2 linked regions of the Nothobranchius furzeri genome follow. The protein of the gene in region 1 binds, or shares a complex with, the protein of each later gene. Links are inferred from orthologs where the notes say so. Each region holds a gene or a part of one and is shown on either strand. Other genes may lie near its edges.

Region 1 (6,697 bases):
GGACATGTGGAGGTTCATATTCCGCACCAAAACTCATGCAAAAGAGGCAAGTGGTCACTTTTTTGTTTTCTTTTTGCATGTTTGATAAAAAGAAACACAGTGTGTGTGTGTGTGTGTGTGTGTGTGTGTGTGTGTGTGTGTGTGTGTGTGTGTGTGTGTGTGTGTGTGTGTGTGATATAATGGTTAGGGGGGTCTGCGTGTGATGAAGGTTACTGACTTCTCAGCTGTGAAATTAAAGAGTCTTCCACGTCATTAATCATAAAAACTCAGATGAAATATCTTCTTTCTGTCTAAAAATTGATAATGAATTAAAAAGTATGAGTCACACTTTAAAATTCTCTATTTGTATTTTTTTCCTAAACAGTCCTTACGACATCAGTTTTAAACTTGGAGACTCCTTTCAGTACAACAGCATCTGCTCGTTAGAGCAGCGCTGGCCCTTGGAAATTGGTTGCGGGAGGGGAAGTGTAATTGTCAATTGTTTTATACTTGGAGGGGGGCTGGGATGGGAATATAGGATCTATGGGGCCATTTTAATCTGTGAAGCACTTTGAGTTGCATATTTTTATGTATGAAAAGTGCTATATAAATAAAGTTGATTTGATTTGGGGTGAGATCAGAGTGGCGTGTTATAACATCTCTGAGATCTCTAGCGTTTTACCGGGGGACTCGGCACGAGTTCGTAGGACTTATCGAACAGGAAGGAAGTGAGATCGGTTCAAATAAAGAGGAAGTGAAAACTGGGAGGGAAGCGAGGTTTCCTGTTACTGGTGTGGCTACCATCACGCTACTTTTACCCCCTTGTGTGTGTGTGTGTGTGTGTGTGTGTGTGTGTGTGTGTGTGTGTGTGTGTGTGTGTGTGTGTGTGTGTGTGTGTGTGTGTGTGTGTGTGTATGTGTGTGTGTGTGTGTGTGTGTGTGTGTGCAAAATGTAGTAATCCTAATAAAGTTAACTGCTCCATTAAATTGGTCCCTTTAGAACGAGTCACACATCAGCTGGGTAGAGAGGGAGTTTGCCAATATTAGAGAACAGGTAAGCCCTCACCTGTTAAAGATTTAAACCAGTCAGTGTCGCTCCTCCTTTCTTCTAGCTTTCGTTATGCATTTTTGTCTTTTTGTCCTCTGGATTGTTCATCTGCCAATCAGGAAAAAGAAAAGCGTCCAGCTTTCAGACTGCAGTGCAGAGCTGGGGAGCTCGGTTTTTCCACAGCTGATTTACTCGCTGCAGAATTATTGGATCAGGAGCAAAAAAAGTGATGCAGGGGAAAGAAAATAGAGACATCTCAGGTGACAAGGTGAGCAGGAATGGAGCTGTTCACATGATTTTCCACAATTAGGAAATTGTCTGTCACCCAGCCAAAATGTTAGTTGTCCGAATTGTCACGGTAATGTGGACACTTCATCCGTGCTCCATCTCTCTCTCTCTCTCTCTCTCTCTCTCTCTCTCTCTCTGTCTCTGTCTCTCTCTCTCTCTCTCTCTCTCTCTCTCTCTCTCTCTCTCTCTCTCTCTCTCTCTCTCCTGTGTTTATACTGTGGCAAAAGTTAAAGCTGTGCTCCATAGCATGATGTCATCAAGGAGAGGAAGAGACGGTTTTGAAATTGGAACGACTGTAGCGCCCGCCACCTTTCCCTTCTGGAAGGAGCTGAAAAGCACGCCTCATACAACATTTTGAAGGAAAAGTAATGGTTTTGGTGTGTTCCTGCTCAGATATACCTGATTCTAGCTACCAAATGACCTCCTCAGCCTTCATCAGGTTCTATAGGAACTGCTAATCACTCCCTTTAAATGAATCTGCAGAGTTCAAGTAGGTTAAGATCTAAAACCAGTAGGATACCAGCACTCGCGATGCTAGCACACTCCTGCTAACACTACAACCACCAGCTAAAACAATACACCGATGTGGTGTAAGGTTGAACGCCATGCTAATCACTTATCTCCAGTTCGCAAAAGATAAATCCCCTTTTGTCTGTGAGACCACCTACCGTTTCATGTCTCCAGTGGAAAGAGAGTTTGCGGATAAAGCGCTTCTGTTACGCATCTACTGGAAAGGCCAGATTAGGGGAAAAGGTCAGAGAGTCAGTTTGAAACATTTTTGTTTTAGTTTTGTTTAAAAATGTTAAACTACCTACCCAATCTTAGTTTCATGCTCTTGAGGTATTTTCTAAGTGTTTGCTTTGCTTTTTCAGTCTGATTGGCAGCTATTCTTACACTTTTTCCTCTCCTCTTTTGCTTTCTTGCAATTCTATCTGTTTCTGTCTGTGTCGGCCACAGATGTGTTTGCGCTCCACTAGTTGGGCGCAGGACTGCGAGAATACGAGCAGGCTCTTCCTTCCTGTTCATTCTAGCTGTAGCTCACTTCAGCAGAGAGGGCACGCAGGTCAAACCAGAACAACACAAACGGAGGGATGACAGGAGACACGATGGAAGAGAAGAAGATGCATTTTGTTAAAAAACAGGACGGTAGATAAAATGCAGATGCTGTGGACTTTCACCTGCAGAACCAACTTTAACATGGGAGCACAAGAGAGTCTGAGCCGTGCTCGCACTGAAGAGAGCCTGAGATGAATTTGTGCGAGCTGCTGCGGCGGTCGCCTTGTGATGGATGCGGGTAGGAGCGTAAAACAGCATGGACAATGCTGAGATGGAAAAGGACAAAAAAAAGTTCAAGCTGAGCCGCGTGCTGTCCCTTTACCTGTTCAGAAAGAACAAATCCCTGACTGGTAGTCCCGCTCGCTGTAACGGCTGCAGAGCCTCAGCTGCAGCAGACGGTGACATTTCACCCGAACCAAGGAACCAGTGGACGGTAAAGTGATCCCTCCTCAAGTTCACGTCTGTCTTCTTCACGTTTTCCCACTTGAGTTGTTTTCTAATTTTTTAGGTTATGTGAAGAAATATGAGATGCATTGTCACTGCAAAGTGCAAATGAGGGTGTTTTTGTTGATGTTTGTTCAGAAGCGAGGCGCAGCTGATAGGCTGGTTTCCTGTTGTCACACAGATCCAGGCTTCAGTGGTTTGTGGTTGTTTTTAAAATCTAACAAGTAACATTTTTTTAAAGATTACACAAAAACCTGAATCTAAAGTAGCTACAAAAAATAAAACCCCATCATGAGTCCCTCGTCTGGGCATCAGAAGATCCACCTTTGTTTGTTACCAGTAATACATCTATGGTTTATGAGTTGGAAGTAGGTGCTTCCTCTTCTGGTGACCATTAACTAAAATCAATGTAAAAAATTGAGTGCAGTAATCTGTTTTAAAAAAATCCAAGCTGGATCCTTTCATTGGAGTGAAAAAGTGCTTTTTCTTCTTTCACTGCTGCTTTTCAGAGTCATCATTTATATTTTCCTGCTCTGCAAACATCAAACTCAAGCGTTCTGAACTTGTTTTATCTTTTGACGGTATTTTTATGTGCTTTCAGCAGCGCAAACGTTACTCCACCCAGAGATAAACCTGCACAAGTCCTTGATCAAAGAGCAAAATCTGTGGTTTTAACAGCTCTTGACCAAAAATAACTAAACGCTAGACCCATGTTCCTTTTTAAGAGTTCTCCGGTAATTCCATTTAACTCCGTTGTCACCATTAGTTCCAGAAACTCGATAGCATTGCATCTCATTTATAAGAACATAATCTCTTACATTTGCACACCAGTTTCTCTTTTTACTGCGCTTCCTCTTTCTCTGTGCTTTTATTTTGATAAACGGTTCTATTTATGCCCAAAGACGCATCTGTTCAGAAATGTTCTATTTGCAGATCGACCATCTTAGATTACTTTTACAGCTCACGCACCTGCTTTGTGCTTTCACTCTGTAGGAAGATGGAGACATCAAGGAGATCAACATCACCCACGTGGTCAAGGAGGGCTCGGAGAAGGCAGACGCCTCGCAGTTCGAGCTGCTCAAAGTTTTGGGTCAGGGGTCTTTTGGAAAGGTAACACACCTAGGCTCGCTTTGTCCAACTTTTAAATATTTTTCTCTCGTTGTTTAATTCGGTCGCTCTCCAGAAGCATAAGGGTTGTTTTTGTTTTGCAGGTGTTCCTTGTACGGAAGGTGACCCCTCCAGATGCCAACGAGCTTTATGCCATGAAGGTCCTGAAGAAGGCCACTCTTAAAGGTACACACACTTGGAATAACCCTCCATAACTGATAAAGGTGATGAAAATTAATAATAATACTATTATTTTCTTGTGTTTTTTGGAAGGTTTCCTGTGATCTTTTTTATTTTTGTAGTGATTATTAGTCTCAGTTTCATATCTGCCAAAAAATGTCACCTGTAAGCAAAGACCACCCCAGCTTTCTGTGGGTTGTTGTCAGATGATGTGGTCTCATCTTCTCAACAAACAACAGGGCGTGCAAACTGTTCACACGGTCTCCCAGAGGGTTGTGGTTAGCTTAGGTCGTGCAAATCAAAAGTGAATGCCAACTAAGACATCTTCATCGGCTCTAATCAGTCACTTTTTGCAAAACATTTTTTTTCTCTTTCACAATATGGAAGCAAATATGTACCAAAACTCTAATTAAAATGTGCTGGCTGAAATGCTTCTTCGTGTTCACAGTAAAACTGCAAAGAAATAATCAAAATTAAGAAGCGTGTCTTATTCATTTTATTAATGAGTGTGAATGCATTTTATGTTTATTTTTATTTTTTTATTTATGTTTATTTATTTGGCAGACGCTTTTATCCAAAGCGACATACAATTCTTAACTTGTAGGGCATGTTGTGATCTGTGGGGGAAACCGGAGTACCCGGAGGAAACCCACACTTGCATGGGGAGAACACGCAACTCCACGCAGAAAGGCCACAGCCGAGTTTCGAACCTGCAACCTTCTTGCTGCGAGGCAACAGTGCTAACCACTGCACCACCATGCAGCATTTTAACTTAATTTATAGAACATATTTTCTTCCACAGATTAATTAATCCATGTAGTTTTTATTTGATTAACAGGAATAAATTTCCAGTACAAATTGTTTTTTTTTTTCACTTTACATCTGTCTTCAAATCTAGACATCTTTTAATCATTTTATTTCAAATTCCAGGAAAAAAAATATTGCTTGAGTTAATGTCACCAAGACACGATAAACATGTTTCTGCAACTTTAAAAGAAGTTATCTAAACTTTTCATAGCGTATTTCTGAGTTCTGTTGATTTTCTTAATTGGAAATGGGTTCTTTTTAAAAGAATAAAAGAAACAAACCATCTTCTCTTGTATTTTCTTTTCAAATAACACAGATGAAGAATTTATAGAAAAATGCATTGACTTTTTACTCTTGTCCTTCAGTCAGAGACCGCGTGAGGACCAAGATGGAGAGAAACATCCTTGCAGACGTCAACCACCCATTTGTTGTCAAGCTGCACTACGGTGAGCCAGCTCGCTGTATTAAAATCACTTAAACAGAGATAATAATATTACTGTTTGAGTTTTAACGTTAAGATCTGAGCTGTGCATGCTTGATGATTTATATTTGAATATTCATCTGTAGCATTCCAGACTGAAGGGAAGTTATACTTGATCTTGGATTTTCTCAGAGGTGGAGATCTTTTCACACGGCTCTCTAAAGAGGTAAAGGGGAATCCCTAAAAGCACAGTCTGTAATATATTTACTTATTTACTATAAAATTGTCCTTTTTTATTAATATTTCTCATCAATATCTGTTTTATTTATTCCTATTAGCGTAAAATTTTACATTTTTACATACATAAGCTGTAGTTGACCCTCCATTGTCAAGCGCCATCTTGAAATACAGGAGCTCCTTACGGACATAAAAGATATAATGCTCTGCATTTCACGTTTGCGCTTTGGCATGGCCTTTTTGATGTGTGTGGGCTACCGTAGATGCAATACCTACCCTGAACTGCGTTTCGCTAAAGAGTTGAATTGTTTTTACTGACTGGGGCTTTAAATTAAAAAATGAACCATCTATTTTGTCTGATCTGTTTGGTACAACTTTTTATCACTTGTATGATTTACTCCTAGGTGATGTTCACAGAAGAGGATGTGAAGTTTTATCTGGCCGAGCTGGCTTTAGGACTGGACCATCTCCACAGCCTGGGCATCATTTACAGAGACCTCAAACCTGAAAAGTAAAAACACGTTTTCCCACTAAAGCAGAAATTTTCTCCACTACAGATTAAATGAATATACAGTTTGGTCTTTCACAGCATTCTCCTGGATGAGGAGGGTCATATCAAACTCACAGGTGAGTCTACTGTTCTCACACACACACACTCTTAAATCTCCTCTGCCCCGTTGACCTTCATTACTCATCGCTCCATGACAGCTTTATCTTTCTGACTGCACATATCTCCATACAGGCCCAGTGCTTGTTCCCTCACATTAATTATTACTCTTTATCTTATCTCCATTACGAGCCTTTGATCCCAAGGTGACCCTCTGGAAGTTCAGACATGAAATACCCATGATGAAGTGCTTCTGTTGTTTAACGCAACACGCGTATGTTGATATTGTGGGACTGAGCTTTGTGTTTCTGTTCCGCGCAGATTTTGGTTTGTGCAAAGAAGCCATCGACCATGAAAAGAAAGCGTACTCCTTCTGTGGTACTGTAGAGTACATGGCTCCGGAGGTGGTGAACAGGCAGGGTCACATTCACAGCGCCGACTGGTGGTCGTTTGGAGTACTGATGGTGAGAAGAATTTATTATTTCAAGTTGTTCGTTTTAGGGACGCTCCGATTCGTTTTTTGG
Region 2 (6,706 bases), about 11 Mb from region 1:
CAGGTTTAACAACTTTTAACAACTATTAATGGCGGCTGAAGTTTAAATGCACAAAAGTAAGCCATAAATACAGTTTCTACTATAAAAGTAGTCAGGCTTTTTGTGCTGCTTCAATTATTTCAGTCCAAACACTCATTGGTGTTATTCGTTCCCTCCTCGTGTACCCCCAAATTCCACTACCTCCGCTCCGCTCTGGTCCGCCCCCGCCTTCCGCAGCCGCTCACTTCCGAACTCAATTTTTACTGGTACCCGCTCTACAACGGCTCCGCTCCGCTCCGGAGACCTGAGGGGGGCAAACAGGCATGCGCGGGATTTTCGAGATCTTGCGATACAGTCCGAGCAATAAACGCGGAAGTTAGATCCAAACACCCGTCGTGTGGGAGAAGCATCGAAATGAACTGTTTAATCTGCCCATCATTTGTGTTAGAGATCAGCAGTGTTTGGATCATCAAAGTGTGACTACTTTGATAGTGGCAACTGTATTTATGGCTTACTTTTGTGCATTTAAACTTCAGCCGCCATTGATAGTTGTTAAAGGTTGTTAAACCTGTGCATATGAAACAAAAAACGCCTTTTGTTTATCGAATTATTGTGAAAAACGGAAGTTGTGCTTGCTCCTTTTCCTGTTGGGCGGTTGTGATTTCTGTCCATTTACTGCGGAGGTGTTCCGGCGTCCGGCGAAAATAGGATCGATTGTATTTTTGCCGGATGCCGGAACAGAGGGCGGCGCACGGCGCCGCACTGCCAGAGCATGGCCGCAGTAGTGGAATTGCTCTGATTGACTACAACGGGACCGATTTTGCTCCGGCGTTCGTGTCGGAGCGGAGCGGAGGTAGTGGAATTTGGGGGTTAGGAACAACACCTCCAGGATAACGCCGTTAATTACAAAACTTATGAACTTCTAACTGGTACAGATCTAACATAGTAAAGCATCAGCAACCATCAGCATTCAGTGAACTAGGAGCTCATAAAATCAACGCCCCTGTCGGGTCACAAATGCATTATGGGTAATAGCTGATGCTTTTAAATGTGCCCTCAGACAAAAGTGGTAATTACAGAGAAAGGTTTTCGTCTTCAGAAGTCACTGGAAACGGTCGTTATGTGTTTGCTGCACACTTGGCCGTTTGAGAGACCAGATCTCTTTAACTATTAACCATCGTCATAAGCTTTTTTTTACTGTGTGGGTGTCGGACGAGCCCCCGCACCGTGAGAACAAACATCTCATCTCTAAAGCTGATCTTCATCTGCACACGTCACGTGATCAGGAAGCAGAAAATCCATGTGTTAGGAGATCGGTTTGGGCCGCTGCTGTACAGAAAGTGAAGCGCGAACCGGAAAAGCTTCTGCCGATCACAATTCAACAACGGATTATGAAAGAACGGATAACGCTCGAAACGCGCGGATTCTTCCTGATGTAAGAGGCGAGTCTCCTCTTTGTTTTGTTGTTTTGGCAACGACATTATCCTAGCGCGCAACGTTCTGTGACTCTTAAAAGAAACAGTAAAAACTGTGAGAAATGCTGGCAGCGAAGGGCTCTACCGATCAGGAAACGGCTGGCGGTGAATGAGTTAAAAGTAAATCTTGTTTCACTGATAATTTACTGGAATAAAGAAATAAATGAAGTCCTTTAAAAGCAGAAGATGTGCAAAATACACAGCTGGTGCCATTAAATGGTTAAATATAGACATGAAGCCCTCTGCTCCAAGTGTCAGTACCACGTGGTTCCTGAAGGGGGCGCCACACACAAACCACAGGAACTTAGAAATGTCATAAAGAAGAACACGCTTCGCTCGTTGACATTAGAGCTGCGTGTTTACTTAAAATTTGTCAGTTTTGACTTAAACTCCGCTCAGAGACGATGTAATCCACGAGACCACAACAGAAAACGTCCAAGAAGAAAACCAGACTGACTTTAAGCAGCGAGATACCCGACGAGAGTGGTGAGGACACTTTGTGGTCCAGATGCAGTGTAGCTGTGCCTTTGCTCGGTGACTCGGTCAGATTTTAAACGTACAAATCTGCGTTTACGACGGTGATGGTGGGGTGAGACTAACACGCGTTACAGGGGATATTATTCCGAGCCTTCACCAGACAAACGTGCTGCTAGAGCTAAATCAGGCGTGGAGACTCTCCCAGCGTGCGGTGAGGAGAAAACCAGGCTGTCCATCACAGACCTAAAGCACCCGACACACAACTCTAACACAGAGCCATTAGTGTTTGGACAGGACGAACCAGTCGGCTGCATCAACTCAAACACCCCCTGAGCTCGTTTGGAAGTCCTTTCTGCCCCGACCCGCTTCACATCTGACTAATCAGACATTTGATCATTAGGATGCTTCTAATAACAGCTGACTGGCGGCCATAGGGAGAACAACAACAGAAGACGAGTGCCTTTTCAGTCCTGTCATCACGTTTCATCTGTGATTGGTGATCAGATTCAAAGAGTTTGTTATAGAAACTGATCTGAAATCAGCTGCTTCGGAAACTTTGGTCATTAAAACTCTATTAAGTCCATCTGAGAGCTTATGAATGCAAATATCTTATCAGCCAATCAGATGCCTGCATTTACTCAACCAGAAGACTCGCTGAAGCTCAGAACGTTCATCTGAACTGAGATTTAAGATACTTTGAACCAGCAGGTCTTATCTCCTGGGAATGGAACCATCAAACACTTCTAGAGCAGCAGCTTAGCACTGGTTCCTACCAAGGTCTGCAGAAGCACAAGCTGCTCCTGATGAACTCCAGTAGCAGAAGACCAAACCAGTTACCAGGCATCTGTCTTGTCAGCTAAGAACAGGAGACCGAGGCTACAATCCCCACAGGATCAGCTGAACGGGACCAGAAGAGACTGGAAAGCTTTTTCTGGTCTGATGAGTCTAGATTTCAGCTGTCAGGTCAGTCACCATGTCCCAGAAGCTTTGGGATGTGGTGGAACGGGGGCTTCTCATGAGCCGATGCTGTCATGTGAGGATGGACCAGGACCTCTGAGGAACGTTTACAACACCTGGTTGGATCCGCCCAGGTACCAGTCAGGTGTACCTGAGCAGATGCAGCCTTTTACTAAACCATGTTGAAGTCACAGATGGAGATCGTAACAAGAAGGATCAGAGGCTTTAGTTTGGAATAAAACACAAAATGAAACTAAGACGTATCCATGGAAACGTGAACTTCATGTATGACAAAAAAGGAAGATTGATCCGTTTCTGATCAGATAACTGATGGTATTTTACAGCTCGTGTGAGTTTTCTGTAACATGATGAACAAGGAGGAATTTCTAAAGGTCGGATCGTTTGTTTTCCTTAAACTCATCAGAACACAAAGATAAGCTCAGTGATGCTAATAAATGATGAAAATCTCCAACAACACTCTGGCACCGAGATCACCACCAACCTAAAAACTAGGAGATATGTCCCAAAATAAGGCTAAACGTCACAGCTGTGACCCTTCAGGTCACCATGAAAGAAACAAGATGAAGGGAATTAGTTTCAAAAGCAACAAGAAGCTGGTGTTTCTGGCCCTTCGGTTAAGTTGTGTTTTTGTTTAAATTAAAGCGCAGCATTCATGCCGAGGTGTTCTCACGTTCGCCCTGGTTCCGGGTCGGGTTCGGGTCCGAGGCTCAGTTTGAGCTCCGGTGAGTTTTTATCTGTAAACACCCAAAAGGTGGAGTTTTTAAAGGAGAAGCTGGACGTCTCATGCACATCAAAGGGTACCGCGCGTGCTCTTCGCGTGCCAGCGCAGATCAAAGGGTTGCCGCCGGGCTGAAGTTTGTGAATTTACCGGAGGATTAAACCCCGCAGAGCGGGTTCACTCACCGAGGTTGGTACCGGGAGGCTGGCGGGTCGCTCAATGGACTCAGGCTGGTGCTGCTTCCCGGTCACATTCATTTCCAGCCGCCGCTCACTTCACCGGGAGTTTCTCAAGTCATTTATCCGGCGAGCGTTTATCCCCGGTGTCCAGGTTACGGGTCCGGTACGGCATGTCTGACGGTTCCGTGAGAGTTCTGAGCGGCTCGCGCCCGGAGAGACCGGAGAGGGTCGAGCGGCAGCGGGACCGAACCGGCGGTGAATCAGCGCTGATTGTCCGCAGCTGCTGCGACCCAACCTGAATCCTCACGCGTCAGAGAGCATTAACCCTCTCACCTGGTCCTGGACCATATCCACATCAGTTCAGCAGAGGCGATGATAGGTCCATAAACACGGGGGGTGGGGGTGGGGTGCCTCATATTTACACCTCATTCCTGCATAATTTTTACAATAAATAAAGTTTAATAAAAATGTCCAGTTATTTAACTCGATAAGCTTCTCCTGCATGAAATAAAGATGAAATTAGGATTTTTAAAGTCGCCTTCTGATGGACGAACGATGGGCGACATGTTTGTCGGCTACACCTGGACCACAGGGGTCTACGAAGCTCAGAAAATCTTCACTAAATCAACAAATACCAGTTAAATCAAGTTTGAAGTTATTCTTTTTTTTCTCTCCATTTTGGATTGAAATTCAACAATCAGAAAATGAAATTCTGTCATTTTATAAATTTCAGTTAAAAAGAAAGGTCATGAAAATATCTGTGAACCCAGATTAGACAGCTTCAGTTCTGATCCCAATGTACAGGTGTGTAGCTGGCAGGTGCGGTGCATTATCGGATGGTTTTCTGAGTGTTCCACACTGATGTATAGTTTACTATAACCCCTGAGATTATGGCTGAATTGAAAAACCACTTTAGAGATTATTTCCAGTTTATATCATCAATAAAGCAGCTGATAAAACTCAGCAGCCGCAAGTCAAGAAAATAAATGTTTGGGAGTTTAATAAATGGGTTGAATTAACAAACAAAGCAGAAGGCGGCGTTCTGGCTGCAGATCTCTCCCATTCATCTTGTTTCCGAGCGGCTCCATTTACTTTCTACCCACAGTGCCCTTTTTTCTGTCGCCTTTCCCGTCTGCATCTTTTCCTCCCGCAGTTTCAGGCTTTTAGATAAATTTTTAGGCAAATCCAGGTTACCCTGGCAACAATGGGAGAAGGCAGAGGAGCTGGAGGAGTGATGCTCACCAGACACAACTCTCACGTTTACTGCAGACCCTTCGTGGGAGAGGATTCTGGGTAATAATAATATATAGAAGCTTGTTTTAACCTGTTGAAAGAAAACTCACTAAAATGCTTGAAAATATAAAGTTTTAACATTTAAATGTTTTTGTGTTTGATGTTTTACATCCTCTTTTGAAATTTAAACCTTTCACTTTTTTGCCTTTTTTAACCCTCCCACAGTCCTAATGGCTGTGACCCCGCAAGGAAAGTTGACCATTGGGCAGGGTTGATGGTTTATCCCTTGAGGTCCACGTGGCAGGGGTGAGGAGTGAGCATCACCTCATCTCTGCCACGTGGACCTCAAGGGATAAACCATCAGTCCTGCTCAATGGTCAACTTTCCTCGCGGGGTCACCCATAAAGACAGTGGGAGAGTTAATAAAAAAAAATCTGGCTCTAGTATTTAAATGTGTGATTTAATAAAACCAAATAAGATCAAAAATCTGCACTCGTTAATCGTCGGTTTTCTCCAGTTAGATAGATAGTTCCTTGTTGGGAGTTTTGGTCAAAACCAAAACAACTAATCTGCTTTTTCTCAGTAAATATTTTTTCCAAACCATTTTTTCCTTTCGTGTAGTTTTATCCACTGGTGATAATGTTTTGCCTTTGTTAGCTAAACATCTCCTAAACGTCTGGATGGATTTTAACGTTCGTCTGAAGACAATTAACCTTTGGTGCCAAACAAATTCAAGATGGCCGCCACAGAAATTCATGGATTCTACAGATGTCGAGTTATAATTTGTGCTTGTAGCTGAGCGTCAGTCTAAACGCAGAGGTTGGGAATGATGGGTAAAAGTTATCGTGCTAACTAGAGTCTGAATGTTTACGGTGGTAGAAAACGTGTTTCTTTGTGATGATGATGTCATTTATTTGTTTCATAAAGAAAAAAAATTGTGTTTGCTTCGTGATTTTGTTGCTGTCACATTTGACAAACCTCAAATTGTGGGTTTGTGACCTGCTTCTGGTTTTAATCCTCCTGTGTTCCAGTTTAACCAAAACCATCGGCTCTGTGGGAAACATTCTGAAGTTTGTTTCCTATTTGGTTTCATAAATTCCTTTTTAACTATGAAGCAGGTTTCCGAGGACCTTTAACGGCCACTTAAATCATCGATAAAACAGCCAAACCTGCCAGGAGCCACCGAGATTTTGGTTCTGAGTCAAGTGTTTTTCATGATCTGAGGCAAAGCACACAGATTTTTTTCAAGGTGAAAATGATCAAAAGAAGCAAATAAAAAAAGGGGGGGGGGGGGCTTCATCCCACTAAATCACAGCTCTGTTATGGATTCAGACACAAATAAAACACAAAACTTCAGGAAAACTTTTCTTAAAGTCGATCTGCAGAAAATCAAAAATGGTTCAAGTCATATTACCTCAATCACAAAACATTTTAAAACACCTTGAAACTTAAATACTGTGTTTAATCTGCATTTAAGTGTGGTTTAAAATGTTCTCTTACTCTTTTACCACAACCAAAAGGTCTTGTGATGTATTTCCTGTTCCTTTGGGGGCGCAAAAACCTTCACCATAGACCTACGCCATGACTGACACATGCGCGCTGGATGCCCCTCCTATACAAAACATATAGAGCCTTTGGGAGCAGAACTTTGCACCTGAAGCATGCAC

Evidence for each region. The genes of interacting proteins can lie anywhere in the genome.
Region 2: the proteins of rps6ka1 (region 1) and sntg2 are in contact, whole or in part, in a crystal structure (PDB 7QQL), measured with the Homo sapiens proteins. The link is inferred for Nothobranchius furzeri from reciprocal best matches to the Homo sapiens genes RPS6KA1 and SNTG2. Residues at the interface, in NP_002944.2 of Homo sapiens: Pro731, Ser732, Thr733, Thr734, Leu735; in NP_061841.2 of Homo sapiens: Gly82, Gly83, Leu84, Gly85, Leu86, Ser87, Ile88, Lys89, Gly90, His94, Ser101, Lys102, Phe104, His134, Val138, Leu141, Arg142.

What each region holds. Positions count from the first base shown.
Region 1 is NC_091758.1:28,126,437-28,133,133, reverse strand, and holds the start of rps6ka1 (ribosomal protein S6 kinase alpha-1), read left to right. Parts: upstream 1-2,465; 5' UTR 2,466-2,626; coding exon 2,627-2,803; intron 2,804-3,807; coding exon 3,808-3,924; intron 3,925-4,025; coding exon 4,026-4,107; intron 4,108-5,273; coding exon 5,274-5,354; intron 5,355-5,475; coding exon 5,476-5,555; intron 5,556-5,970; coding exon 5,971-6,077; intron 6,078-6,155; coding exon 6,156-6,193; intron 6,194-6,494; coding exon 6,495-6,637; intron 6,638-6,697. UniProt on the Homo sapiens protein: Serine/threonine-protein kinase that acts downstream of ERK (MAPK1/ERK2 and MAPK3/ERK1) signaling and mediates mitogenic and stress-induced activation of the transcription factors CREB1, ETV1/ER81 and NR4A1/NUR77, regulates translation through RPS6 and EIF4B phosphorylation, and mediates cellular proliferation, survival, and differentiation by modulating mTOR signaling and repressing pro-apoptotic function of BAD and DAPK1.
Region 2 is NC_091758.1:38,843,234-38,849,939, forward strand, and holds the start of sntg2 (gamma-2-syntrophin), read right to left. Parts: upstream 3,949-6,706; 5' UTR 3,885-3,948; coding exon 3,813-3,884; intron 1-3,812. UniProt on the Homo sapiens protein: Adapter protein that binds to and probably organizes the subcellular localization of a variety of proteins. May link various receptors to the actin cytoskeleton and the dystrophin glycoprotein complex.